Linked DNA regions of Oryzias latipes. The protein of the gene in region 3 interacts with the protein of the main gene of each other region in a pairwise test. Links are inferred from orthologs where the notes say so. Each region holds a gene or a part of one and is shown on either strand. Other genes may lie near its edges.

Region 1 (6,819 bases), on a different chromosome or scaffold from region 3:
CTGGATGAGTTATGGGAGGAAAACCAGGGCTGCGTGATCCTCTTCACATGGATGCAGTTCCTTAAGGAGGAGACCTTGGACTTCCTGGGCATCAAATCTCCTCTTGAAGTCAACAGGAACAACACAAAGCTATGTGGTGAACGAAGAAAAACTGATCCCACTGCTGCAGGTAATGCATATTTATTGAAACATCCTGTTTAGAAAATAGATATTTAGTTATGTTAATGATGAAGAATGTGAAGTTTCTCCTGTTGATTTTTTTTTTTGTCCAGATGTTACAAAATGTGACAGTAAGTCTGAAGTAGCAGAGAATAAACCAGAGATAACAGACAAGCTGGGACAGCACCCTTCTAAGCTTGACCCCCGCGCTGTGGTGTTGATGGACCCACGGGCTGACCCCCTACCTCAGCTGCTGGACTTTGATGAGGCGCAGCGGCAGAAGGTCTTCGACAGCAAGGTGTTCTGCTGTGGGATCTGCTTCTCGGAGAAGCTGGGCTCCCACTGTCTCTGCTTTAAAGAGTGTCAGCACGTGTACTGCAACGCCTGCATGACTGAGTACTTCCAGATCCAGATACGGGACGGCAATGTTCAGTGCCTCAATTGCCCTGAGCCCAAATGTACCTCATTAGCCACACCGCTGCAGGTATTCTAGTGAAACAGAATGTTTTGATCTAGGAAACGTCATCCACATTGACCTCTGTTTTTTATTCTATAATAACTTTTTTGATCTTCTCATCTCTTCATATGTCAGGTCAAGCAGCTTGTGGATGAAGAGCTGTTTGCCCGATACGACCGGCTGCTTCTTCAGTCCACTTTAGATCTCATGGCTGACGTGGTCTACTGTCCTCGTCAGTTTTGTGGCACAGCCGTCATGGTGGAGCCAGACACTACGATGGGCATTTGCTCGGCTTGCCAGCATGCATTTTGCACCATGTGCAAGCTTGCTTATCACGGTGTCTCCCACTGTAAATTCCCTGCAGGTAAAGTGACGTGGAAAATGAAATGTCCGTGTAAATGGTAGGAAAACAAATCTTGTGTTTATGTTTTTTTTTCAACCCCTTTACTGGCGAGACCTAAATAACACCAACTTTGTGACACACCGTAACTCTTCAAGTAGCAAAGCAATTTTTCTTAGCTCCAGAATCTTCTGGAATGTTTTCAAGTGTTTACACAATGAGCGTGATGTTGGGTTATTTTAAACGCTAATTGTGTAAACAGTCTAAAAGTTACATTAGTCTACAAAATGTAAACGCTGGAGCTGAAGCTCCAATGTAAAATGGTAAAAAAAAAAAGGGGGGGACAAAGATAAAATTATTTTAGACCTTTTAATATCTTCTCAGTTTCTTATTACATTCAAAATCCTTTGACTTTGTCTGTCAGCTACTGGAAAAAACTTAGTTTTGGGTTGTTGTAAATCTAGTCCCATAATATTTCTCTTTCAGTTATCTTAATTTTCTTTCCAATATGCATAAACGGCAGCTGGGCAGCTCAGTTGGTAAGGTGAAAGACTGCCACGCAGGAAACCAGTGTTCAATTCTCATGGGGAATGAACAATTAATTAATGGCAAGCAATGGTAATGGTAATGGGGCAATGACCATATCAATCGTAAGCAAGGCAGCTTAACACTGCTGCCTCCCAAGCGCGGCTCGTCTGCAGCTCACCCCTCCCCCAGGGGATGGGTCAAAATGCAGAGAAGAATTTCCCCATTGTGGGATAAAAAAAAGAAACAATTATTATTAAACAAGATACAAATCTATTCATCAAACAATATTTGTTCTAGTAGGTATGTTTTAAAGTAAAATACCTTACAAGTTTTTATTTTATTTTTTATCTTTGTGTCTAAAAGGTAGAATGTAAACAATAAAGGTTAACGCCTCCCTTTCTTTCTGTTTGATCCTTCAGAGGAACTGCGTAACCTCAGAGACGAGTACCTGTCAGCCACATCGGAGGGGAAGAAGTTCATGGAGAAACGCTTTGGGAAACGGGTGATCCAGAAAGCGGTGGAGGAGTCTTTCAGCAGGGACTGGCTCACGGAGAATTGCAAATGCTGTCCCAAATGTGGAACCAACATACAGGTAGGCTCCCCCTGCTAGTAGCTCTGGACTTTGCCTCTACGAGCAGCAGGGGGCAGTGTTGTCCACTATTTCTCATTTAAACTAAACAGAAATATACAGTGTTGGAGATGGATTTGGGAAAAAAAAATAACTACAACTCTCACTCCAAAAATCTTTTGAGCTATGTTAAAAGTGTCCATAGTGGTATTTTAATTGTTATTATGCTGTTTTAGCCAAAATGTAAATGGACATAGTTTCTGCAGAGCAACAGTAGTTCATTAGAAATTCGCCTCTGAGTCGTGGGCAGGACTGTTGGTGTGGAGCAAGTCTGCCCTTACTTCCTGACATCCCTTTATTGACACTCCCCCCAGCCTCTCACACCCCCAACCGAACATTACCAGTAGAAAAAGAAAAAAACTGTGAGCAATATTGGAGCTATCCAGCCGGACAGTTTTGAGTCAGACACCAACTTGGACGAAGAAAACAAAGAGAAAAATGGACATATTTGTCTGCAAGGTGATGCATATGCTCTCTATCATCAGAAAAATGCTACAGGAACCTGTTAAAAACACAATTTTCATTGGAGTGGGTATTTCAATATCCAGTTAAGGAGGGACTCATTTTTTCTTTGACGCTTCAGAACTTGGTCATCAGTGTTCCTCATTTCTTTGTTTTTGTTTCTCCTTAGAAAGTTGACGGCTGTAATAAGATGACCTGCACCTCTTGTAAACAGTACTTCTGTTGGCTGTGCTTGGGCGTCCTCAGCAAAGTCAACCCATACGGTCACTTTAACAACCCCCATTCACCCTGTTACAACCAGTAAGTCACCAGTTTGTGAGAGACTTGAAACATTTCCACGCACATGTGTTTAATGCGGTCTCCCTCGTCTGTTCCAGGCTTTTCCAGGGTGTGGACGTAGATGATGACGACAATTTTTGGAGTGACGAAGAAGACTGAGCCCCTCACCCTTCCAGTGCCTCACTGCTATTTGAAAGCACTTTATTTCTTACATAATCACCACGTCATCTGAGACTCTGACTTCAAACATGTCGTCTCTGTGATGCCACTGTGAGCACATCGTGTTGTTCATGCTAAGAATGTGCGACAAAATCAACACCAGAAACATCCCCTACCTGGGTGATTGTTAAAGAAACTTCAACTACTGTGGTTGTTTTGGATACTTATAGACACCATTTAGCATTTTTAATTCATCATAGATCAAGGAGAGACTTGCATATGAAGTTCTCTTATAACCCTTGGTATTATGGCACTGGGTTAGCACTTAAGTCCAAAGAATTTTTCTTTTTCAATGACGTTTAATAGCTTTTTTAACGAGTTAAGCACTTCTTCATGCAACCTAATGTATTACTGGCAAATAAGAATTAGGTCTGTTCCAGGAAAAGTAAAAGACTTTGGCACAATATGACATTTTTTATTTTGAAATTAGACATAGACAACATACTTGCAATCAGCAAAGATATTTATTGCTTTTTTTTAATGTGATCTGAAAGAAAAGCTATTATGAAAGATGAAACGAAATCAAATATTTTTTTTTTCTGAACTTGAAACTTTTCTTCATCTATTCCTCAATAATTTGTTGGTCAGTGTTGGTTCGGACTGGATAATACAATTGCATTGTTACCTTACTTTAGGTCACTTCCTGTTTTAATTTACAATGCAGGATGTTCACCAAAATAAAAGTTCCAAGTTTGCCATCATTGTTTGTTTTTCATTTTCACAATTGCAATTGTTTTTTTTTAACTCAAACTCATTAAGGAAAACAGCAAATCTGAGAATATTGACCATCATATTCATGTGCAAATGTCTTTTTTAGGTTTAACAGCAGCAAAACTTATTTATAAAACGTCTTCCCTCTTCAATGTTCCACATTTTAAGCTAAAAGGAAGCGGTTATTATAGCAGCGCCTGCAGGATTGTGTTTAACATCTTAAAAAAATATATATATATGACCCCACAGTGCAAAAAGGACAGTCGGTGGTACACTAAATGTGAGAATAAATTGTTTTAAAAGGATTATTACATTTTGCTCAATATTACGGAAGTCCTGTGTGGAACATCAGAATCCAAAATCCACCCTACAGAAGTCAACTCCAGGTGTTTGGTAACATCTGGACACCTGAAAAACCACCCCTGTTTGCTCTAATCCAGAGGTTAAGCTGTGACACAGAGACACAATGACACACAAAAAGAAACAAAGAGCACACGTTGGAGCCTGAGACTGAATAGAGTCAACATTGTGTCATCCCTTTGGCCAGAGTTGCTGACAGAGGAGAACCCTTTAAAATAGGCCCCTCTCTCCTGGCCTGTTCTGTCCCATCCCACGCCTCGTGCTCTCTGCTCGCACCCTGAGCCCCCTGCCCATCTTTGTCCATAGATGCTGACTGACCGGTGGGACATTTACAATGTCCATTAAAGACGCGCCTGCTGGTGGAAGCACAGGAAACGAGCACCTGCAGCAGCTTTCCAACCCCTTCTCCTGCATTCTACGAAGCTGGAAAAGGCAGGTCAGTGTGAAGAAACTCTGCTCTCACGTTAGAATTAAAATGGTGAGAGATTTAGGTCATGAATGAGATCTATTGTTTTAGATAAACGGTTGAGTTCTGGATGAACACAGGAGGAACGTTTTTAGATGAGAGTCACGGGCCGATGGATGTTTCAACCTATTGGATCTCTATTGGAACTCTGTAGAAGCATTGGATCTCTATTGGATCTCTTAATGAAAGCAAAAGACTTTAGTACTATTGACTATGAAACATTCAGACATTTTTTTTCAATTACAGGTTAGGTTTCCACAAAAAAACAAAAATCTGTTATTGTAGAAATTGTTGATTTATGACTTTTAGGCTGTCAAATTAAAAAAATCAATGGAAATACATTAATAAATAAATAAATTAAACGGGTAAAAAATAAATAAAATCATTACTATAAGGCAGTGCTTTTCTATTATTTTTTTGCAACGCCCCCCCTAGGAAAAAGAAAATGTTTCGCAACCCCCCAACACACTGGCTGCGGTGACTATTAGGTTAGTATCTATAAAAATTGTGTAAGTATACCTAAAATTGTATCTTTTAACACTAACAAAAGAAAAAAGGAATATAAATCCAATTTTAACAAATATTAACTTTATTTAGCCACACAGAAACCCTGTTCTAGTCTAAAACAGAAAAAAGCTTAAAGGGCCTGAAATAAAAAAATCTGTCATTCCTTATTTAAACTAAAAACATTTTGACCATCTGAACCATTTGATGCCGAGAAAAATAATTCAATTAATAATATTACATGTAAATTGATCTGAAATATTAACACAGGAGCACCAATAAATTTAACGTTTTTAGTCTGAAGAAATAGATAAAAAAACATTGTGCTAATTTTTTTTCTAAATGATGGATTTTTTATTTCTGATCTCATAAAGTGCAGCTGTTTTCCTGCATTACCTGCTGTCTTTATGTACAATACCGACACCAACTAAACCACAGACAGACAAAGAATACATTTATGGAAAATAAAGACACATCATCAAAATATCTACAATAGTTCATAAAGAATGACATTATTAGCATGAGCTGAGTAATATATAGGCACACCATGATCCTTGTGTTGCGCAACAGCGACAGCGCTCTGCGTGTGCGTTCCACCCTTGCAGCCTGAGCCCACTACCCCTCTCCTTTCGTTCTCACACACGCAGCCGCGTGTGACGGGAGACAGGAGCGGCTGCAGGGACGGCAGTTCACAGTTTCAGGCTGTTACAAACTCCTCTATAGAACAGATCATAGGAAACCAATACAGTAATCCCTTGTTTTTCGCGGGGGTTACGTTCCAAAAAGAACCTGTGATAGGCAAAATCCGTGAAGTCGAAACCTTTATTTTTTCTTAAAATTAATATACAATTAAATACTCTATTAAACATTGAAAAGAAAGAACAAACCATTTTACAGGCTCAAGCATTTGTTTCACAAATAAAAGTACTTTAGAAACGTTTTTTTTCAACAAATAACTTCTGTACTGTACTGTCAAATAATAACTTTAATCATTGATGTGAACAGAAGGCTGTGGAGATCAGCCCCGCCCACCGCGACCCGAGTAATTGGATTAAACAGGACAAAATTTAAAATTATTATGAAAAAAAGACAAAGTCGGGAGCCGGTTTAGCTCGTGCTGGTTTGCGGTGCCTTCCGTCCATGAAACCAGGGTTTGACTCCGGGCTGCTCCCTGTTCCCTTCTCTACTTCCGTGCCGGTCCCAAGCCCGGTTGCTTTGAGAGGGTTGTGTCAGGAAGGGCATCCGGCGTAAAACAATGCCAAGTTTACCATGCGACTCATTCGCTGTGGCGACCCCTGATGGGAAAAGCCGAAAGAGAACCATGAAAAAAATACAAAGTACAGTGGGACAAATAGTGACTCAGGTGTATTTCACTGCTCTTCAGACTGAGCCGCTGCATCCTGACTCCGCTCTGCAGTGTTTTCTTCTTTTGAAGCCCGCGGTGCAGCTGTGTTTGTTCGGGATAAGAACATAGTGATAGGCAGTTGTTGTCGCTCTTTTTTCTATGGGTTTTAGAGAAAGTCCAAATTGCAAGAGATTTTGCACGTACGTAGTGTAAATTTGGCAAGCTGATTTACGTACGTGTACATATTAAACTGTAACGTTATTGACACACAGGTAGAGAAGAAGCGGAGTGACTTTTTAGCCAATCAGAATGCAGAACACAATGCACGATGCAAATCCATGAAGTAGCGAAACCGTGAAAA
Region 2 (7,845 bases), on a different chromosome or scaffold from region 3:
GTACAGAGTGGACGAGTAGATGACGTAGTAGTTCTCAAAGACCGACTCCTTGAACTTGCACTCGGGCGTGAAGACGTCCTGAAACAGACAGAGCGGTTTAGATTCACACCAGGAACCCAAGAACCGGGAATTCTAGCCGTTCCAAGTCTTTGGAGTCTTCTGGAAGTTTCCATAGAAACCAACAACGTAATTTAACCTGTAAACACCAGAGTCTTGGCGGCTGTGTTGACGTTCTTTGAATTATTGTGAGTCTTCAGCTGTTTCTGCCATGAACATGTGAAGAAAAGAAAAGCTAGAAATACTAGAAGGAGCAGGTTGATGCAACAATACTGAATGAAAATGAAGCTTAAAGAGGAATAAATGGCAAAAAACAAGAAAGAAATGATCACAGTTGAGCATAAATACAGTGAAAACCGCACCATAACAAAAAGATATGTTTGTGAAAAACGCCAGAGCCGGGTATCGAACCAGCAACCTCATGCACCTCATTCCCCATTTATTTCAATGGAGGCAGAAATCCTGGAATATCTGGAACAGTTCTAGGATTTGAAGGACCAAAAGTCAGAGCTGGAAAAAGCTGAAGGAGCTGAACATTTGAATAATTGAATGGTTGAAAAAGATGAAACACTGTGGGAGGAGCTAAGAGATAAAACACGGAGGAAGATACTAGAATAAAGAGGAAAACTATGGTTGAATACTTTATAGATTTCAACCAATAATTTGACAGATTCTGTCAGACTCTTATTTTCGTCCCCATCGGGTCATAGTTTTGTTTCATTGGAGGATGACGCCCCCCCCCCCTGTTCTGTTCAGTACACAAACCTGTTCTGATCCAAACCGGGTCAGCAGTTCTGTCATGACGAACACCTACGGGTGACGTCCAGCAGCTTCTGGTCCCATCATGCAGCGGGGCGGGGGCGTCCGTGTTCTGACCCGACAGCACCGGTCGCGCTCTGATTCCCAGTTTAGCTCGTTCACCTGCCCCCCCAGATATAACAGGTGTTTGCTCCGTGCTTCACAGGCGCGCCCCCCAGACATAACAGGTGCTCAATGCAAGTCAATCAGAGCAGAACAAGCCCCTCCCCCTGAGCCTGACAAACTCCAGAGTTGAACCAGTAACCGCTTTCCTTCCTGGAGGACTCGATCAGACGTGTTCCAACAGCAAAGGAGTCAAAACATTTCATGACCACCCAGAAACAAAAGTTACTTCCTGTCTTTTCAGGAAGCCCGCCTACTTCCTGTCGCTCAAAAAAACCCATAGAGACTAACCACTAGAGAGTGGCGTAAGGACGCCGACCGTCATCAGAGCGATGAATACGCAGGACAATGGTACGTTCCATTTTCACTGTCCAGACGAGCCTGAAGGGAACGGAAAGACACGCCTGCACCTGAAGACGGAGCCGCTCCTCTCTGAGACCCGGACAAACAAAAACCCGTAGCTCTCCATTCGGTCACAAGAGTGGACAGCAGAACCCGTCCTGAAGAACGTTTTCCATGGATGGGTTCTGATGGTGAACCATGTTTTTGTGAGGAGACTTACAGACGTGTAGAGGAATCCCTCGGCGTTCATGGCCACGTAGAGCCCCGCCTTCACTCCCTGGATGGCCACGACCCTCAGCCCCACAGGGATCAGGTTGAAGAGAGCTGAGGGCGACAAACAGAACCGGGTCAGCAGCAGCTTCCCGCCCGCCAACGCACGCGACCCACTCAGCGGAGACAGCAGCGCCGCAGCAGACAGCCAGAACGAGGCGGAACGAAACGGGACCGCGCCACCAGGCGATTGGCTCCTCAGAGACGGAGCTGCTGCGTGGGAGAGGAGGTGGAGGAGGTGGAGGAGGCCTGTGGCCGCGCTGCTGCTGGTCCTCCTTTATTTAACTCTGGTCCTCCTCCTCCTGGCCTCCTTTTCGGCTCTTCCACAGCGGCAGAGGAGGTGGGTCTGCAGCAGGAAGCAAAGCTGAGCGTCTGCAGATCAAGGATCTTCATCTGATGAGGAGGAAACACCAGGAGGGAACGTCTCCTGATGTTTCTGTGGGCGGAGCCATGAAAACGTCAGTGTGTGGGTTGGAATTGGATCTAAAATGATTGACCCTCCCATTGGACCAAACTGTGGCTGTCTGAGGCCAGGGTCCGGTCGGACGGCGTGCCGGATCAGAGGACACTGAGTGACACGGATCTGGGTTCCTTCAGTCAGGTGGGTGTGGCAGCAGGTGGGTGTGGCAGCAGGTGGGTGTGGCAGTGTGTGTGTGGCAGCAGGTGGGTGTGGCAGCAGGTGGGTGTGGCAGCAGGTGGGTGTGGCAGCAGGTGGGTGTGGCAGTGTGTGTGTGGCAGCAGGTGGGTGTGGCAGCAGGTGGGTGTGGCAGCAGGTGGGTGTGGCAGCAGGTGGGTGTGGCAGCAGGTGGGTGTGGCAGTGTGTGTGTGGCAGCAGGTGGGTGTGGCAGCAGGTGGGTGTGGCAGCAGGTGGGTGTGGCAGCAGGTGGGTGTGGCAGTGTGTGTGTGGCAGCAGGTGGGTGTGGCAGCAGGTGGGTGTGGCAGCAGGTGGGTGTGGCAGTGTGTGGCAGCAGGTGGGCGGGGAACTCACTGTGGTCGCTGTTCTCGTCTTTACAGCCGCTGATGGTCCCATCAGGCAGCATCTGCAGGAAGAAGCCCTGCTCGCTGAACAGACGCGTCACGATGCCCTTCAGCTGCGGCTCTGCAACAACAGTAACACAAAAGACATGAGGGGGGGCACCGCAGACTCCTCCCACCTGAGCAGCTTCCCGCCAATCACCCGTTCACCGTCCTGTGCTCAGGGGGAGGCTTAGATCCTCTGATGGAGCTGCAGCAACAAGACGCCGTTCCTCCCTGCAGAGCTATTTTTAAAGGTGCGCTGCACACCGCCGGGGGAGGAGCCTCTACTGATCCGGACAAGCTGATGGGGTGAAGATGCTGAAACAACGGCTGCTCTGCCATTTCTGAAGCTCACCTCAGAGTCCAGGAGGACGCAGGGCCACGCCACCAGGAAGTGAGTTACAGACAACGCCACAAACGGCTCCGCCCACAAATGAGGACACACCTGAAGTCTATTGTGAGCCGGTATGATGGGTATTCTGACCACGGAGGAAGAACTTCCACGGTGAAGGAGCCACAGAAAGTCTGAAAGTCTAAGGCGGATCCGCTCATTCCTGGTCCTGGAGGTCCAGCAACCTGACTGTTGTCCAGATCTTCAAGTCCTGCTAGCTGCTGATTAGCTCAACCAGAAACCTCCACCTTCTGTCTGAATGAACACCTGGTCCAGGTAACCAGCAGCAGGCAGAGAGCTGGAAGAGATCTGCAGGACCAGGAACCAGCAGCCCTGCTGTAAGCTGTGGTCAGAGGACGGGGTGTCTCCCCCTGAGGCGGGAGGCGCCGCTCCCCCTGAAACTCCGTTTTACTGACACCAAACCCCAGAAAGACGGCTACACTGAAAATATTCTGATTTTGAGTCGCCAAAATGTTCAGAATGTCTTTTTTTTTTAAACCTATCTGGAAATAAAGCTCCACATCTGTCATCTTCCAGCGCGGCTCTAATAGACAGACAACTTTAGTGTTTTTCCTTTTTAAAGTCATAAATTTACAACTACGAATAAAAAAAAAATCCTTTTTTGTTTGTACACCTGCCTTAAGAGTCGTAGTTCCAAATATAAACAATTTTCAAAGGGGGTTTATTCAAATATGCACCTCATGTGTCAGAAGATTGTAGCAGTGAAATCTGTCAATCAAAGAGCCGTCAGCTCTGATCCCGTCTGTCTGCTCAGCTGTTGGACAAGAAGAAAACACAACAAGAGGACTTCCGGTGTGACGACGAAGGAGCCGAGCCGCTCTGCTGCAGATATTACTGCCAAAAACTGGAATCCACCAGAGAAGAAGTGGATAAAGACACAGGAACACTGGAAGGGAATCAGCTGGGAGTGACGGCTACCAAACCAACGGGACCAAACATTCAGAGACGAACTTTCTCCTGAATCCTTAGAATCCTTCGCTCCACAAAGTCCCCCCTCATTCCACGCCAGACATTTGTGTCACAGTGGATCCGTGTCTGATGACGTGAAAACCCCAGAAAGTTAGAACAAAATGGAGGCGGGGCTCTAAAGTAAAAGCCCCCCACCCCCTCCCCTCTGCTTCAACGTTGTCGTGTCATTGGTGTGCAGGACGACTTGCAGGTCATCGGGGGGGCTCCACCGTTGAACCTCAGAGGCCCCCCACCCCCACTGAATGGACCGCCCCCCTTCCTCATCAGGACCAGCTTCCATCAAAGGGAACCGGGACCTCCTTGCTGTCCTCCTGCAGGAGGTCCAGCTTCGTCCCGCTTCCCACCCCACCGGTGTCCCTAGCAGATCGAACTTTCCCATCATGCACTGGTGCAGCGAGCTCACCTGTGCCGATGCTGGTTTCTAGCAGAAAAACAGACGCTGTTCTTCTGGACCGACCAGAGACGGTTCTGGACCCACCTGGTTTCCGGCGCACCGGCCGCTTCTTCCCGCTGCAGAAGCGAACTTTTCTGAAGACGCTGAAGACGTGCCGCTCGCACAGCGAGCGCGGGTCTTTGCTGGGACTGGAGCGCCGCTTGCTGCTGGCGACTTGGTTGTTGTTGGACTCGCGGGCCTGACGCTTCTGCCGGATCAGGGAGCTGGCGATGGCCGCCGCCATCTCCCACCAAGAACCGGCTCCAGGTTTCAGTCCAGAGCAGAAGACAGCGGACCATCTGAAGGGGAGTCAATCAGAACCGAGCCACGGTGGCGCCGAGCTGCAGAGGCGAGTGCTGAGCACCCCCGTGAGTCGCCAGAAGAGTCCCGACCTGCTGAAGCGGTAAAATCCTGTCACGTCCCAGAGCCTCAGCTATCGGGAATCCAACCGTCTTCTCAGAACGGTTCCGCTTTGACCTGCAGAGAAGATGATGGTCCTCCGAGCTGACGGAGCGTCTGCATGGATGAATAAATGAAGAGCAAAGCCTTCTGGGTAGTTTTGGTCCCAGAGAACTCGTGTCTGCAGAAGCTGTTTGGATCTTCCAGAACCGTCTCCTCTCTCCAGAGGAGCTCAAACCCGGAACAGAAGTTCTGAAGGATCCCGGAGCAGAGGAGGCTGGCTCCTCGTCCTCCTCTTCCTCGCTGCTGAATGTGAAGAGAGGCTGAGAGGCAGAGGGAGGGGGGCGAGTGGAGGAGGAGGAGGAGGAGGAAGACGCTCCTATAAATATTCTGCTCCCACATCCCGATGCTTCATCACACGAACGCGCCACGGTTCCACGCCTCAGGACGGTCCTCGCCGCCTTCACGTTTGGAGGTGCAGAATGTTCACTCTGAGGTCCGTCACATGAAGGTCAAAGGTCATCATTCAACCCTCATCCTTTCCTCTTTTCACTCGTTTGGTTTCAGTTTTCACTAAAGAGAAAATGTTTTTCTTTCAATATTTGTGATTTTTTAAGATTAAACATCAAATAAAATGATTTTTTGTTTAGAAATTGATCTTAACAGGAAAACAGGTTTATCAAACAAATGTCAATCATCAATTAGACATAAATGTTTGCATTTATCATATTATGTTATTATTTTAGTCTACTATCATCATTTATTTATGTCATGAAGATTGCCCATCATTTCAACCGAATGTTATTTGCTGTCAAACCATATTGGATCTGCTCCATACCAGGGGCGGAGCTACATGGGTGGGGCTACATGGGCGGAGCTACATGGGCGGGGCTACATGGGCGGAGCTACATGGGTGGAGCTACAGGGGGCAGCCCCCAACCCCCCATTTTTGAGTGAGTATAAGCATCAGAAACTGGATTTCAACATTGCCAACAGGAAGCAAACTCTCGGTTCTGCCGTCCTTTTCCTGTTTCTTTTTGTTTCGTTTTCTTTTTTACATTTCATTTGGAGAAAAATTCCTTTTCTTTTCTTTTTTTGTGGAATTTGGTTTTAGATCCTAAATGTAACCTTGTTGTTTTTGCTTTCTTAGTGGCAGCAGTGACCTCTATTACGTTTTTGCGTTGAGTGGGTTGTTGGTGTCACTGGCCCTTCGGGGCCACCATAGTTTAGCTGCAGATAGAACCCGCCCACGGCTTAGAGAAAAGGTTCTGCCTGAAGGTTCTGTTCCTCAGCATATACCAACAACATTGGATCTATGCTGATCAGCATTTTTCTGAGGAAGGGCCACAGCCAAACCCCTGTGGCCCCTTCAGGTCATCTGCGGGGCACGCCGCCCCCCATCCCATCAGCCTCACGTGGAAGGTTTTTACTGACACGCTGTTTACTAAACTGGGTCTAAAAAGTCAAACTTTTTCATGAATTCTGGCCTCCATCAAGGTGAACCCTTCCACCAGCTGTTCCTTTGGAACCCAAAAGTTCCGCTAACACTGCGGGTTCTCCTGGGGGGCCTCCTCTCAGTGGGACCCGCCCAGAACAACTCCGGGGGTCTGAAAGACGTGAACAATCCACTTCAACAGGCCTCTGGATGTGGAGGAGCGGCGGCTCCACTCTGAGCTCCTCGTCTTCCTGAAGGGGAGGCCCGCTTCAGGATCCTGATCCAGAGCTGATCCTGATCCAGACCTGATCCAGAGGTGATCCTGATCCAGAGCTGATCCAGAGCTGATCCTGATCCAGACCTGATCCAGAGATGATCCTGATCCAGAGCTGATCCAGACCTGATCCACATCCAGAGCTGATCCAGATCCAGAGCTGATCCAGATCCAGACCTGATCCAGATCCAGACCTGATCCAGAGCTGATCCACATCCAGAGCTGATCCAGATCCAGAGCTGATCCAGAGCTGATCCACATCCAGAGCTGATCCAGATCCAGAGCTGATCCAGATCCAGACCTGATCCAGAGCTGATCCACATCCAGAGCTGATCCAGATCCAGAGCTGATCCACATTCCAGAGCTGATCCAGAGCTGATCCACATCCAAAGCTGATCCAGATCCAGAGCTGATCCTGATCCAGACCTGATCCAGAGCTGATCCAGATCCAGAGCTGATCCTGATCCAGACTTGATCCTGATCCAGAGCTGATCCACATCCAGAGTTGTTCCAGATCCGGAGCTGATCCTGATCCAGAGCTGATCCTGATCCAGAGCTGATCCACATCCAGAGCTGATCCACATCCAGAGCTGATCCTGATCCGGAGCTGATCCTGATCCAGAGCTGATCCACATCCAGAGCTTATCCACATCCAGAGCTTATCCAGATCCAGAGTTGATCCAGATCCAGACCTGATCCAGATCCAGAACTGATCCAGATCCAGAGCTGATCCAGATCCAGAGCTGATCCTGATCCAGAAATGATCCAGAGCTGATCCACATCCAGAGCTGATCCAGATCCAGAGCTGATCCTGATCCAGACCTGATCCAGAGCTGATCCTGATCCAGACCTGATCCAGAGCTGATCCTGATCCAGACCTGATCCAGAGATGATCCTGATCCAGAGCTGATCCAGACCTTATCCACATCCAGAGCTGATCCAGATCCAGAGCTGATCCAGATCCAGACCTGATCCAGAGCTGATCCACATCCAGAGCTGATCCAGATCCAGGGCTGATCCACATTCCAGAGCTGATCCACATCCAGAGTTGATCCAGATCCAGAGCTGATCCTGATCCGGAGCTGATCCACATCCAGAGCTGATCCACATCCAGAGTTGATCCAGACCCAGAGCTGATCCTTATCCGGAGCTGATCCTGATCCAGAGCTGATCCACATCCAGAGCTTATCCACATCCAGAGCTTATCCAGATCCAGACCTGATCAAGATCCAGAGCTGATCCAGATCCAGAGCTGATCCTGATCCAGACATGATCCAGAGCTGATCCACATCCAGAGCTGATCCAGAGCTGATCTA
Region 3 (7,262 bases):
AGGGTAACCACATTTAAAAAAAACAAACTAAAACTTATCTTTGCACATAGCAGTTACGGCACGGCACACACCTGTTCTGCTTGGCTGAATATGTTGACATGGAGTTTGTAAATGGATCACAAAGTTAAAAATTAGCATAACACTTTAGTCATGATTCATGTTTGCATGCGCTGCGATTATTAATACACCTGATGGCCTGCTAAAAGTGTCTTAATAGCCAAATTTTGTGTGATTTTTATTTTTTTAATTTAAGAAGAAAGGAGATTTATGTCGGAAAGTTGGGATTGTTGTAAAGAAAAGAAAGAACTCCAATCTTACACAGAAAATCACCTGGAAGTAATAAGATGAACAAGTGTTTTTTACTTAACAAGAAATCTTGTAATATATAATAAAAACAAAGAGTTCCACACAAGCATTCAGAAAGGGAAAAATAAGCTAAAAAAGGTAACGTTTGGATATAATCACTTGAAATGTTTTATAGCCTAATAATAAGTACTTTTTTGCTGGTTCTAAGCAAAAGGTTTGTATTTTTTTGTTTGTTTTTATGTACCTAATTGTAGTTCAATTTAATTACAGCAACACAAAACAAGTGTAATAAGCGTAAAAGACTAATTTTAGATCAAAATGTGAATAAAACAAAAATATGATCTTCGTACTAGTTGGCCCATTTTATTTAATTCTCATAAGATCGTAAACTAGCACTTATTCCTAAAACATAAATCCAAAGTTTTGTCCAAATTGATGACGACTTGTCAGCATTTCCTAAACTTTAGAAATAACATTCTTAAAATTAAACCAAAGATTTCTGTGAAATTTGAGTGTTTTTGAGTCTCAAAACAAGTTTTTCTATTGTCAAGAGTCAAAGGATTTTGACTCATTCTAAAAATAATTTCCTTATGCCTAGATCCTAGCTCTCAATGAGACAAAACTTTCTCATCTGTGATGCTTTTGAGAAAAGCTTGGAAAGATGTAGAGCAAAGATAAATTAAAAACCTAAAACCAGGTAAAATATATAGAATGTGTGAAAAGAAATTTAAATTTTAAATTTGCAAAAAGAAGAAGTAATGAATCTTGAACTATTGCTTAAAAATTAATGTTGTAAAGATTTTTCTTTTTGAAATTCAAAGTTTTAGTTATTTTTTTAAATTTTGAACCTCCTTTGTGTGAAAACTTGATCTTTTTAAATTAAATGAACATTTATAATGTTTTTACTCTGAGGAGTGTGCAAGTAGTTTAGGCTGAACTACACTCCTGACGCATTCTGTCAGGAGTGTAGTTCAGCCTCACTGTTTGACTTCAAACTGTCTCTCTGCCCTCCAGATAACAGCTACTTGGTTGCACAGTCTACCAGGGAGAGCTGTGATAGACAAGTTGACCAAAAGCTCCCATCAGGCAAGGAGAGCTGCGAGAGGGTATCTTACCCTGCAGGACAGAAGCTCCCAGCAGGTCTTCACCACACTCCCTTCATCTTCCCGGAAGGCTTGTCCTCCATAGAGACCCTGCTCACAAACATCCAGGTGAGGCTCTGCTGGGGCTTTATTGTTATCATATTTTTAAGATGAATAGGAAAAGAGATGAGCCGCCCTCTGGGATTTCCTGAAATGGTAAATAGCAGACATTTGGAGTAATTGGGTTGGGCATGTGTTGACCTGTTTCTCAGATTTTACTCGTCTTTGTTGTAACGCAGTCACAATAAAATCCTTCTCCACTCAGATTTTCACAGGGAGGGGGGAAAACAACCTCATGTGACCTCAATGTGTTAGCAGTTTCCTGTTTTTTTTTTTTAAACCTGTTGTTAAAGGATCAGCGTTGACTTTCATCAAGGCATTAAAAAGTCAAACTATAAACTGAAATATTGCCCAAAGAAGTAACGGATATTTCCACAGTGGGAGTATTTACCGTACTTAATTCCCATTACCATAAGCCGATGCTTTAGTTTGTCCATTTATCTGGAAAACACAGTGCCTTTGTTGAGGTGCACACGTCTCTTTGATGAAGCACCTCTTGGCTCCTGTCCAGCATGTAACCTGTTGGTGTGCGCCTGTGTGACTCCAAGCAGGGCCTGCTGAGGGTCGCCATAGAGAATGCCCGGGCGCAGGAGAAGCAGGACCAGCTGGAGAGGACGGAGCTGAAGATGGAGCTTGTCCGAGAGAGGGAGCTCAGGGAAACCCTGGAAAGACAGTTGAGCATGGAGCAGAAAAATAGAGGTGCATCAAAGTTTCAACAAGATAAGAAAAAAAACTGTTTTTCATGTGGACGCCACACGATGACGAGAAACTTTGTGCTGTCTGTTGAATTTATCCACACTGGCGCAGCACGTGTTTTAACACCTGAACTCTGACAATTCTGCTGTGCTGCTAAACAAGGTTGGTTTAATCCACTTCTGAGCTGACAGGGTGTCCATTAAGTTGGAAATCAGATAAGGAAGTGAGGACACCCACTGTATATTAGCCCTCAAAGCAGCTGCAGAGGTGAATTAGGCTTAAGTTGGCAGTGAGCGTCAAACTAAATCAAGTTTGCCAAGTTTACAAAAGGTAGCGTCAGAACAAATTCCAGTCAAGGACATTTTTCCTGATGTTACATCAGGTGGAGAAGAGCTTCTTTTATGTCACATAGTTTTTGCAGTTTAAAATTCCTTGTTTATTCCCAACCTATCAAATTCCAGCTGTGACTGTTCCAAACTAAAATAGAAGAAAGGATTTAAAATGAATAAACAAATAAAGCCACTTTAAAAAAAAAAAACTCTCTAAAAGGTTTTTTTAATCGCTTTTTTTAAAATAGCGTTAGATATTAAAGTCCCAGTCCAATCATCTATTAATCTATTGTAAAAGTGTTCCCCATGGTCTTTACATCATGATAATACCGTTTTTCTAGCAAAAACAGCATAATAATAGCATCAAAAAACCTGTGTCATTTTTTAGGACATAGTTTCTGTAGAACAAGAGTTGTTCATCAGAAATTTGCCTCTAATATGGGGGCAGGACTGCAGGCGCTGAGTGAGCCTGTCCTCAATTCCCATCCTCCATCTGTTTGCACTCTCTCCCGCAAGCTTTCAGCCCCTCACAACCCCAACCTAACATTAGTGGTGCAACAAAAATAGCGAGCAATATTGGAGTTATCCAGCCGTACAGTTTTGAGCCAGATACCAACTTAGACGAGGAAAATAAAGACATGCATTTATTTAGTCATCTGCCAGTGGATGCATCAGAATGGAGTGGAGCAGGGAGCTGGTGGCCTGCTTACTGTAGCACCTATCACAGCTTCAAGCTTTTACAAATGACCTTTGTTCGTCTGCAATTTGAATGAAGAAATACTCAGAAATGCAATTTTAATCTTATTTAATCTTCATTTTCTTTATAAATGTTCTCCATCATGTAAAAATGCCACAAGAATACATTACAAATACCAAAAACACGATTTTCAGTGGAGTGGGTGTTTGAGAAGTGTCATAAGGAACACCATCAAAAGGAAAACCACACAGAAAATAACTTTTTTATTGCTTTTTTTAAAAATCTTTTTTCTTTCTTTTTTTAGTTCTGATTCAAAAGCGTCTCAAAAAAGAAAAAAGAAGCAAGAGGCGACTTCAAGAAGCCCTTGAGGAAGAGGTCAAGCTGCGCGATCAGGCCGAGCACAGCCTGCTGCATACTGCCAACACTCACTTAGGTACAGAAACTGAATCCTTTTTTTTTTATTCCACATATTATATTTCTCATTTGACTCCAAACCTCAGCTAACGTTACAGCAATTATTTTAATCCTCATCTTGAATGTCAACAAACTTTCAAAGCAACTTTATCTTGATTGCTTATCATCCTCTAATTAAGGGTCTTTATTAATTAATGACCAAACTGCAGGCCATCAATCATCCGCAGTCCTTCCTCACACAGAAGCTGTGACCCAGGACGTGGACGGGAGCAGCCACGACGACAGCAGGCTGGACAGCAAGGCGACAGTACAAGGTAGAGCTGTCCAGGTGACAAACTCTGCTGCAATCCGTGTGCGGCTGTGAGGACAGCCTCACATTTAGATTAACAAGGATATTCTATATTTACTCATGGAAGAACAGAGCCCCTGAAGCTCAGAAGACTATTGCGCTTGTGAAACACTACACAGAGTTTGCAAGAATTATTGTAGGCAGTGATGAATTGGTTCTTCCGTTATGAAAAAAAATTCAATTTTACGGCAAGAATAGCAGTAAACCTGCTGCCTGAGATTTATTATGCTCCTGTTGACTGAGCTAGGACAACAGATTTCATTATTTCACCTACTCACTGCTTTTGATGCCTAACTGACCAGTCTGCTGGAAGGGTTTTGAAAGATTTCACATGGAGCTCGCTCCTGAGAAATTGAACAAAATGCAATGAAGCATGAGGCAGTTCACTGGGGCGACTGTTTTAATGGAGACAGGCATTTTAATATGTTTATTTTTGCCTGCATTATTGTCTTCATAGGGGCAGTTTAATGGGAAAATCCCACTTGCCACATCTTTGACAGACAGAAAAACGGCCGCGATCTCTGGCTCGGCCTTATCAAAAGAGTGCGTGGTCCCGGCCCACCTCTGCTCCGGACTCTGCCAGGAGCACCAAAGCAGACAGTGTGCTTGTTCAAAAGCAATTTTTAATTGAACGTCAGTGAAGCAAGAAGAGAACTGGCCACTAATTAATGGCTGTCTTAATTGTCCTCATGACGAGTTTGTTTGGACATCATTTGCATAATTAACACCCAGTAATAAATCATTTAAGAGGGAATTGTCTGTCAGACAGCAAACCAGGATGTTGTTCCTTTGTGCCAGGAAGTTTTTTCCTCCAAATATGGGCATCAGGGCAGAAAAATCACTTTGAACTTTATAATGCTTCTTTGTGAATATTGCTGCTTTTTTTACCTTCTCCACAGTTTATATAAAAGGATTGCGTTATCTCTTTCTTTTTTAATCAACATTTGAGTGTTTTGAGTAACATTGTTATTTTTTTGCATGGGGGATTTCAGAGGGAAGAGTGTTCCTTCAGACCACCGGACTGTTCTGAGAAGAAGCTAAAGCAGTGGAAAGATGAATGATTAATGGAAAGACCGGAGCAGAGCGCGATGAAGACTCTTCAATTATGACCAATATAGCTGACAGACACGCTCAGACCCACCGTGGCACGTGGGAAACAATTCTCCAGCTTCCTCCTCATTTCAAGGGTGACACCTGAACTTTAATCATTGTTCTCTTCTTTAATTTATTGCATTTACCTTCAAATCCCAACTGGAATAGAACTTTATTCTGATGTTGTGTTTGGCTGTGTTTTCTTTTAATCACGGTTTATAGTTACTAGATGATAAAGATCATAGTTGTTTGTTGTCAGTGCAGTTTTTTTTTTGGACACAGGTGATGAAAATAACTTGTAACAGAGATGTGTACATATATATAGTGATCACTTTTATTATTATTATTATTATTATGGTAAAAAAAAGAAAATCCTAACTGCATGTTGTACATTCAGGTAATGACCTCTATTGTGTATGTTATGCAGTAGTGCAGTTTGACAATACAAACAATACAGATCATTTTTCATAAACTGTGTTGCTCATTGTTTCTTTATTTTTAAAGTGATGCTTTTGATTTAGTTTTTTTTTTTAACTTTATTGTTCAAATATTATTTTAGAGATGTATTTAAACATTTTTAATCTACAGCATTACCTCTTATTCACAAATTTATAATAAATTCTACTTTATCTGTGTTGGTATAGCGCAAAAAAGAAATGTATGTGAACGTGTGGAAAATTAGGATGCATCGATTATATTCTTCCAAATAACATACATGCCCTTTTTGACATATTGGCAGGAAGATTGTCGGTTTGTTGGCTGGCATTGAAAGTGCCCTTTGGTTTAATAGATTTGCAATGCAAAGAGAATTTTGACGTAAAACCTTTCTAATTTGATTAAACTGTGGATCATTCTGAGTCTCCTTTAGCAAAGCAAACACTATGTTTTTATAAATGTGGAAATATTTTTCTGTAATTCCTTTAGGCTAGGGGTCTGCAACCTGAGGCTCTTTTAGCCCTCTGTTATGACTCTTTGCCTTTGAAAAAAACATGCAAATGATTTGAATAAATAATGGGTTTGTAGTTTTATGCTAATTAATTAAATTTTGCCTTTTATATTTAGATTTTTAACATGTTAAATAACTGAGAAAAAGGTTTAATCTACTGTCTGACCATGTTTGATTTGGCTTTTTTAATTTTTTATTCAAGTAAATCTATTGCAAAAGGAGGATCTTATTTGACACGGGGGGGTTGAATATTAAAAGGATGCAGTACTGGGAAAACTAAAAGACTTTAAAGTTCTCATTTGTTGACAAATTTAATCCTGTTATAATTCAATATTGTATATGATACAAATGAATGGCTTAATGGCCACAAAAACTTTGTATTTTTCTAACTGTTAAGTGGGGCGTTGTGTCTCTCGCTGGGTTTTGGTCAGAAAGAAACTGCTCCACATGGCTCTTTCTGTGTTAAAAGGTTGAAGACCCCCTGTTTTAGGCCATAAGGATCTCAGAAGATTTTTTTTTTACTAGTGACAAAACTAATTTGTTTTGTAAATGGGACAACATGATGGTTTTATTCAGGATTCGTAGAGCGCTTTTTTTAATACAAATATTAAATTAAATAGGCTATCTGTAAAATAAAACAATAACACTACATTAAGAGTTGCTCTTTTTGTGGGATCCTTTTCAGCAGCAGGAGTTGGTATAATTCTGGGACACAATGACCTTAGACACCCTCCAAAAACCCAAACTTAACTGGACCAGAACAGTGCCCTGCTGATGTAAGAGACCTAAACTTGATACTGAGCTTACTCCTGTTTAATTACAGATAACAATCACATTTTTCTTCCAACTTGCATCAAGATTTCTATATAAATTTGTTTTGATTTTGAGAATGCCGTTCATCGAATTGAATATTTCTGCAGCCCGATTCAAGCTGTCATTTAAAATGTTGTATATGTGTGTTTCAAAACATTGGCTTTTGTAGCACCAATAATAAGCTGAGTCTTTATTTTTAGTGCTTTCAAACTACAGTCTAGCAAATGATGGTTATTACACAATCTTAAAATGAATATCTGAGTATGTGTAAGTTTAAAGGATTGAAAGAGAAACAAAAAGTGTGAATGCGTTTGAAAAACAGTCCAATTGAATGCATTAGAGTTTGTTCTGGAGTCAGCAAAATGTTATCTTAAAGTTTTTTACGTATTAATCTTCAGGTTTCTACTCATTTAACTTT
Region 4 (7,757 bases), on a different chromosome or scaffold from region 3:
CTAAAAGCCTGATGGTAAATGACAGGACTTACGGGACACGCTGAAGCCAAACACACTGTCGTATTCGCCCATGAGCTTCTTCAGCAGGGTGCTCTTTCCCGCCCCCGACGGGCCACTAAACACCAGGGGCCTGGGTCCAGCCATAGCTGCAGGAGAAGGAATAAAACACAAACCGCTGAATTCTTTTCATTCTTTCCAGACAATCCGAGGTTCCAGCCAGAGAAACCGGCCAAACCGGCCTAACGATCGTCATCTTTATCTCCATGTATTTTTTTTTAAATAGAATAAGAAACTCAACAAATATTGACATCATATCTTTACAACAAGAGTCGAGAGAACAAACCTCAAAAGCTAGAAAAGAAAATCCTCTGATCTTTTTGTTTTATCATGTCTGTTTTGTCAAATATTGTCAACAACAAAAAAAAAAAAGCCCCACAAACTCTACTTTACCTTTTCACCTTTCCTGAAATCACGCAGCACTTGAGCAGACGGAGGGAAATGAACGGGCGGACTTATATTGAGTCAGGATGGGAGGGTCACTGACAGGGTGGGGCTGCCTCTTCCACGTCAGCTTCAGCTTTCTGTTTCTTTTTTTTCCTATTGTAAACACTACAGCAACTGCGTAAAAAGCTGCTGCGTCAATGTTTTTAAATAGATATGCGGAACCTGCTCAGCAGGTAAAGCCCTTTTCATCATTAACATTAAAAAAAAAGACTTAAACTCTGCTTTAGTCCTTTAGTCATAAAACATCCTTTTAGTTTCCCGACAGAAACAGTTTAAACAAATGAAAGCACAGGTGCCCTACGTTTTACTGCAATTTGATTTATTCAAGCTTCAACAGTTCCAGTCGTGGACTGAAAAATAAAGAAATGTAGGTTTAAATCTAGTGTCAAATGACTCAATTGTGTTGTTTTCAGGTCACATTTAGCGAACCAAGTTTTTAACACAAGAGAAGCCCAGGAAAAAAAAATCCCAATAATTATTTATATATATTTAACCACAAAATACAGAATCTACAGTCGATGATCAATGGTTGCATCCAATTAAGATGAAAATATATATATATTTGGTGCATAGTTAAGACCTAGTTCTGCTCAAGACCATTTATTTCTCTAAACTTAAGTTGTCAATTAGAAAGATTAGCTTCTGATTTCCCTCAAACTGTTTTCCAAAAAAAAAAACCTTTCCTACTTAGAAGAGGCTGACAGGAAATGAGAAACATGTGAAGCTACGATCAGCACAGACTGACTCTCATGATGAACGCACAGAGAATCATGTGATCAGATTTACAACCAAATAAAAATCACGTGAAGCCTACAAAGCACTAGCGGCTCCGTGAACCAGAAAGGCTGAGCGTCACTGTCAAATTCTATTGGACATTTTTTTAATCTACATTTCAGTTTACATGACAGTTTGGTTAAACACTGTTAACACATAACTAGTGATTTAACCAAATCAAAACACAACTTTCATTAATTCAATGAGAACATTTTACGTAAAAAATTGACAGAAAATGTTTGTTTTTTATATAAAATTGATTAAAATGAGATGTTATCAATCAATGTTAAGTACATGTTCTAAGAGAAGATCAATTGATTATCCTTAAGAAAACACACAGAAAATACACATGTATTGCATTACAGATGTCCTGTTTACTTGAATGTAGATATTATTGTGGCAAAGTAATAAACTGATTTTATCTCTTGGGTTTGACGGTTTTCTGTTAATTTATTTCTTTAGTATCTCACTGGTTGGTTAAAAATATAATATGTTAAATGTCTGTTGTGTCAAACTGCACCAATGTTGTTTTGCTCCGAATAAATACCATTTAAAAATGCTCAACAGATTATCAGACTTTTCAGTAAACCAAAACCTAAAAAATTGGTTCCAACTTAAATGTTTTTTTTTGTTTTTTTTTTAATATTGCAAGGTATGTAACATCTCACAGATATAAGCTTATATTCTAATTCTTCAAAATGCACATTTTTAGTGACAAATGGTAGAAAATGCATTAATTTGCATGAATAAGCAAACTGGATATCTTATAAATATTTTTAAAAAAGAAGAAGAAAAAAGAAAGACAATTTTGTTAGTGATGTAATTTTTCTCCCAAATTACATTTTACAAAGGGTTTCCTAATTTAAGTTGACATTAAACAAAATAGATGATACTGGACGTTTTTATGCTACTATCAAAAGTTGTATCATCCATCTAGGATTTATATGCATCCTGAAATAAAATAAAACACCGGTTGACTTCTTGGGCACCATCTTTTCCTGTAGCTCCGTGACAACAAAGTGTCTCCAGGAATGAATAGTGGTTCCGACACAGAGATGGGAAAAAGAGAACAGAACAGCAGAAGGAGGAAAGGAAGTCAAAAATCCTCATTCCTACCTGAAAACAGTCTGATAAAATGTCTCATGTACATCGGGAGGCAGGTTTTTCTGATTCTGCAGACGGTCCTCGGAGCATTTTCTGCCTCCGCCGCCCTTTTCCTCACCGCGAGACGCCTACGTCATCACTACGTACCCAAACACGTTACGTCCGCGCGCGCCACTGGACGCGACCAAATGAAATAAACAAAAGGAGCAGGAAATGCTCGTTAGTCGGGAAAAAAGTTGTATTGCTTCTATTTGCAGTAGTCAGATCTTTATTGCTGAGGATTACAAATCTACCGTTTTAAATTTTTTACTTAAATAAAAAAATTGTTTGTTGGGTCTTTGCAACTTTAAGCTGCGCGCGCGAGAGTCCAGCTTTAACGCTCTGCTCTTTGTCGCGTTGTTGGGTTGTTTGTTTGTTTGGAAGTTGCTGTCGAAACAAACGCAGCCGTGTGGGTTTCTTTCGTGGAAACTGGGAATCTAAACTTCCTGGATGAGTCCACGCTAACGGCCCGCACCGACCACGCAGCTCTGCTAACCAACGTAGCTGCTAGCTAGCTAGCTAAGTGTTACTTTTCCCCCCCGAATCTCCACTTTTTTGCCCTTTTGAAGATGTTTGGTTCATCGAGATCCGGAGGCATCCGTGGAGGCCAAGACCAGTTCAACTGGGATGAAGTGAAGGTCGATAAACACAGAGAGAATTATCTCGGTAAGTCCATAACGTGCAGTCGATTACGCTATCAGCGCGTGCCACACATCCAGGAAAGATTAGCTCCAGATGCTTTTAAACCCCGTGTGGCCCCCCTAAAATTAGGTTGTTTTCCTACCTTTTGTTATTGAATTCCTCATTACACAAGGCTTGGCTTGATCTAATAGCTTGATATCAATCCCGATTAATCTCCGTAAAGAAAGCAAAAACGTGCTGTCAATGCCTCCTCTGGTCGACACGTTCGTTGTCTCTGTGCCCTCGCCGCTGCCAGCGGGTCAGCATGCCCAGAGAGAGCTACGTAGTGATCACCACAGTAGTCGGGACCGAGAAACATGTAACAAAAGCAAATCGACAAGCTCTCATAGCTGCTTAGATTTCTGAATGTTGTCTGTGTAAAATATGAGCTAAAACCACAACCTTTCAGGTGCAAAGTCAAACAGAAATGAGGCTCAAAACACCCACCCTTAACATGGCAGGAGACTGTTGCCTTATGTGTGGATTGCCTAAATACTTGGAATTAAAAAAACAGTCTAACAACAAGACTGCACTTGTCTATAATGAGATATTCTAAAAGACAAAGTTTACTCAGCTGGAGGAAGTTTAAAACATTGATCTGATATCAATTTTACAGCTTATATTGCACACTTGTATATACTGTTTGTTTGTTTGCTTGTTTGATTTTATTATATTACAATGTTATCTTTACTACTTTTCCCTTCCTTACTGTTCTTGCACTGATGGTGATGCTTAAATCTCATTGTACTATGCACAATGACAATAAAGCCATTCTATTCTATTCTATTCTATTCTAATTTGATTCTTACACTTGAACCTTTATGGGGGAAAATGCAAAAGGATACATCTACTGGAGAAGTCTGGACTGCTAATATTTTCATTTAAATGTGTGTAACCATGATCATCTTTAAAAGTCAAATAGATTTATTGAAATGATTATTTGGTGCAAAACATTAAAACATCTAGATAAAAGAAAAAGTCTAAATATAAAGTATAACAATCCTGCATAATACATTTTGTATTCTGAATTTGTGGCATTTGAAATGTAGAATTTAAAGAAGAACCTTTACCTAAATAGTTTGACCTCTTCTGCGTTTTTTCCAGGAAACTCCTTGATGGCTCCCGTAGGACGATGGCAGAAAGGGAAAGATCTGACCTGGTATGCAAAGGACAAGAAAGGTGGTGCTCCTTTGTCCAAAGAAGAGGAGCTTGCTGCAGTCAGAGCTGCAGAGGAGGAGGCACTGATGGCTGCCCTGTACGTGCGACTTCCCATAAGCCATTTCCTGTACCTTCTTGAAGATTAGGACACAAAAAGTGATGCTTTGCGTTTCTTGTTCTGAACTTAGAGGCCATAAGAATATAAAGAGACAACCAACAGGGCTTACTAAAGAGGTATGGATACGTTGCTGGTCAATATTGGAAAAATTGCTGTCAAGTCCTGTAAGTTGAATTTGATTTTTTTTTTCAGGATCTTGTAGAGGTATGCCGGAGAGAAGAGGTTGATGGTGAAGAGAAGGATGTGGATCGTATCTCAGGTTTAGGAAGCTCAAGGTGAGATTATCTTCTTGTCTGTGTCATAAAACAGATTTTTTTTATGCAAAATGTTTGCTTTAGGAAAATTTCAACTTTTCTTTTTCTTATTATAAATGCAATTTGCTTGAACAAATGTACAGAAGTTATGTTTAATTGTCCAAATGACAAATGGGAGTTTGTTAATAGTTTTTTTTTTTCTAGTTTATACACTAAAATGAGTCAAATGATTTGTTAATCAGGTTGCTGGTGAATAATATTCTTGGATATTTCATGACTTTTCTTTGCAGTTTTAGGTTTGGCAGAATTCAACCTTCTGTTCAGAGGAGATAAGGTGACTGGCTGTCTGTGGTTTGTTTAAGTTGACTCCATCTTTATTTCCCTCTAAAGTGCAGGGTCACGAAAAATGGTGCTGTCCCAAAAGGAAAAGGAGGCGGCTAAAATGGGTCTGCAAATTTTTACAGTAAGTCGTCTTTCTACATCATCCATACTGCCATTTGGAAACATTATTGTATTAAAACAGCATTTTTTAATTGTCAAAAATTAGTAGTAAATATGTGTTTGATTTTTAATTTTTTAACTATTGACTTTATTAGCATTAGTTATTTAGCAATATTGACGAGGGTTGAGTATGGCAAAAAGAATGAGTCGATTCAGGACTATATGATTAAATATGAATCACTTAAACTTACAAATTTGTTTTTTTTATATATATATTGTAATTTTTTTATACTTAACCCTAAGAAATACTCTAATCTAGAAAAATAAAATTCTTGCTGACGTTTCAGCATCATAAGACTGAAGGAGGCCAAGAAACATCAGCAACAACAACACAGAGTTCAGTGAAACAAGAAACTGAAGTCCGGTGAGAAAAGCGTTTATTTAATGACCTTTACAATGTACAGTCTCTTATCCAACGGTATGTAAGGGGAGGAGTAAATGAATAAAAATCTACTTACTGTGTCTTTAATATTTAGACGTGAAAGTAAAAAGAAGAAAAAAGAGAAAAAGAGCAAAAAGGCAAAAAAGGAGAAGAAGAAGAAGAAAAGACAAAGACAGGATTCTTCCTCTTCAGAGTCAAACGACGACTGCAAAAGGTTTGTCAAAGTCTTCATTCAAAACTGTAGAATTTTAAAAAAATGTCATAAAAATGAGTTTATAACAGGGACAGATTTTCACTGAAGACACCATGACTACATTTCCATTTGCACACTTCTATGTATATCTATCTACCTGACAACAAAGTGTGTTATACAAGTCAAAAATAGGCGCTAACACGTTTTTAAGAATACAATCTTTAAAAAGGAGAACAGCATTCTTTCAGCTGTAAATATTAGCATTTCAACGCACAATACTTATATATTCAATCCAATGAAAATGATGTTTTCGGTGTTTTTAACATGTTCTTGTAGCATTTTTCTCATGATGGAGGACATATAGAAAGAAAATTTATCTTAAAGCTTGGAGAAAGCTTGTAGTTTGATAGAAACTACAGTCGGCGAGCCACAAGCTCCCTGCTCCGCTCCATTCAGATGCTGACAAATAGATCCATGAACGTCTCAGTTTTCCACGTCTGAGCTGTAATCTGGATCCAAACTGTACGTATGGCCAGCTCCAATATGGCTCGCCATTTCTGTTGCACTGCTAATGTTATCTTGGGGTTGTGAGAGCTGTAAGCTAGCTGTGGAGAGTGTAAACAAAGGGATGATGGGAAATCAGCACTGGCGTACCCCCACTGGCCCACCTGCAAGGCAAAGGCCAATTTCTGTGGAAAACCCTTCCGCTGTAGGTTTCCATAACCATTCGGTCTGCAACAACCGTTCTTAATGTGCTGACGTCACCTTATGTGATTGGCTGTCCGTTGGTCTGATGACGTGTCAGATGGTGATTGGTCTGGACAAATTACGATACTACCATAGAAGAAGATATTTCTGTTGTAAACAGAGCTACGTCATGGAGTAAGATAATCTTCTGAACGTGCTTTTATTATTGTTATGATTATCATTAAGTGCATTTGCAGCCGAACGGACAGCGTTCCGAACCTTTCCCTGCTTGCAAACACAAAGCTACGAGACTCCGGCTGCTCTGCTCAGAGAAACGGTTTGCATGTGTGGAGCAGCCGGTTCATTCTAACAGCCACAGATCTTTTTATAAAGTGGGTTGTGGCCAAATCTCTCTAGAAACACTACAAAGAATGTCAGACACTACTTATGAAGGAAAAGAACTTTATGTTACAAAAGGAAATGTGAACTAAAACGCTACGTAGTTTGTCCAAGTGGGGTTACCGTAGTGTGACGTTATCCTCAGTCAAATGGACCCCAAACGGTTATTGCAGGCCGAATGGTTACAGTACCTACACCGCTCTGCAGAAACTATGTCCTAGAAAACGAGACAGGTTTTTTTGATTTGGCTAAAAATGGCTTCATCGGAATGAGTTGAACTGTGCTTTATGGTAAACATGCAGGATGAGTGTTAAACACATCAGAAGTGGAGGTTTGTGAGGATACATATAATGCTGCTGGAGTGGGTGAATATTCCACTGTGGCCCAGAAAATCATTTAATCTCAATCTCAATGTAATGGTTCAATAATATTGATAATAGAAAAAACACTTTATCTTTTTGCCTGAGAAATATTCTGTACTTGGACGGATACAACAAAAATAACTTTGAAATGCTAAGAACAGGATTATGGCAACTATGTTTAAGGGACTATATAAATTGGCTTTTTCCCCACTCCCCTTAAACAATTAAACTCTGTCAATCATTATGTTTAAAAGATTTAATGTGTAATGTGTGTTATGCATGTATAACTGTCTATGATTACGAATAATTTTCTCATTTTTTTTTTAAATCATTTTGCGAATTAATATCTTAACTTGTTTTAACTTCATCTTAACTTAATTTATTTTTTTCTTTTTCCTGTTTCTGATAATTACACTTGTTTGAAATAAGCCAAATCAATCAAAAAAAAATCAGTCTACCTGCAGCTTTTATTTTGAAGGATACAAAAAGTATTAATGATTTTCTTTTTTGATTATTACATTTCCATTCCCCTCAAAACCCCATCTTTCCATTGAGCTCTAACCATGTTCTTATGCTTATTGCAAAACTGCATGCTAACACT

Evidence for each region.
Region 1: the proteins of dachshund homolog 1 (region 3) and rnf14 interact in binary tests that used the Homo sapiens proteins (3 or more experiments, as listed by UniProt). The two-hybrid records come from large-scale screens. The link is inferred for Oryzias latipes from reciprocal best matches to the Homo sapiens genes DACH1 and RNF14.
Region 2: the proteins of dachshund homolog 1 (region 3) and fibroblast growth factor 12 interact in binary tests that used the Homo sapiens proteins (3 or more experiments, as listed by UniProt). The two-hybrid records come from large-scale screens. The link is inferred for Oryzias latipes from reciprocal best matches to the Homo sapiens genes DACH1 and FGF12.
Region 4: the proteins of dachshund homolog 1 (region 3) and c17h1orf35 interact in binary tests that used the Homo sapiens proteins (3 or more experiments, as listed by UniProt). The two-hybrid records come from large-scale screens. The link is inferred for Oryzias latipes from reciprocal best matches to the Homo sapiens genes DACH1 and C1orf35.

The regions. Positions count from the first base shown.
Region 1 is NC_019872.2:6,685,797-6,692,615, forward strand, and holds the end of rnf14 (E3 ubiquitin-protein ligase RNF14), read left to right. Parts: coding exon 1-169; intron 170-272; coding exon 273-643; intron 644-751; coding exon 752-980; intron 981-1,903; coding exon 1,904-2,076; intron 2,077-2,743; coding exon 2,744-2,874; intron 2,875-2,951; coding exon 2,952-3,012; 3' UTR 3,013-3,773; downstream 3,774-6,819. UniProt on the Homo sapiens protein: E3 ubiquitin-protein ligase that plays a key role in the RNF14-RNF25 translation quality control pathway, a pathway that takes place when a ribosome has stalled during translation, and which promotes ubiquitination and degradation of translation factors on stalled ribosomes.
Region 2 is NC_019871.2:567,671-575,515, reverse strand, and holds the start of fibroblast growth factor 12, read right to left. Parts: upstream 5,133-7,845; 5' UTR 4,666-5,132; coding exon 4,467-4,665; intron 2,690-4,466; coding exon 2,579-2,689; intron 1,645-2,578; coding exon 1,541-1,644; intron 79-1,540; coding exon 1-78. UniProt on the Homo sapiens protein: Involved in nervous system development and function. Involved in the positive regulation of voltage-gated sodium channel activity. Promotes neuronal excitability by elevating the voltage dependence of neuronal sodium channel SCN8A fast inactivation.
Region 3 is NC_019873.2:18,572,992-18,580,253, reverse strand, and holds the end of dachshund homolog 1, read left to right. Parts: intron 1-1,320; coding exon 1,321-1,517; intron 1,518-2,056; coding exon 2,057-2,207; intron 2,208-3,534; coding exon 3,535-3,663; intron 3,664-3,853; coding exon 3,854-3,972; intron 3,973-4,985; coding exon 4,986-5,054; 3' UTR 5,055-5,558; downstream 5,559-7,262. UniProt on the Homo sapiens protein: Transcription factor that is involved in regulation of organogenesis. Seems to be a regulator of SIX1, SIX6 and probably SIX5.
Region 4 is NC_019875.2:27,889,332-27,897,088, forward strand, and holds the start of c17h1orf35 (multiple myeloma tumor-associated protein 2), read left to right. Parts: upstream 1-2,535; 5' UTR 2,536-2,990; coding exon 2,991-3,087; intron 3,088-3,205; coding exon of another isoform or gene 3,206-3,227; exon of another isoform or gene 3,228-3,527; intron 3,528-4,172; exon of another isoform or gene 4,173-4,206; coding exon 4,207-4,357; intron 4,358-4,448; coding exon 4,449-4,494; intron 4,495-4,570; coding exon 4,571-4,653; intron 4,654-5,022; coding exon 5,023-5,095; intron 5,096-5,420; coding exon 5,421-5,497; intron 5,498-5,609; coding exon 5,610-5,729; intron 5,730-7,757. Other genes in the region: guanylate kinase, read right to left, coding at 33-146, 2,395-2,428.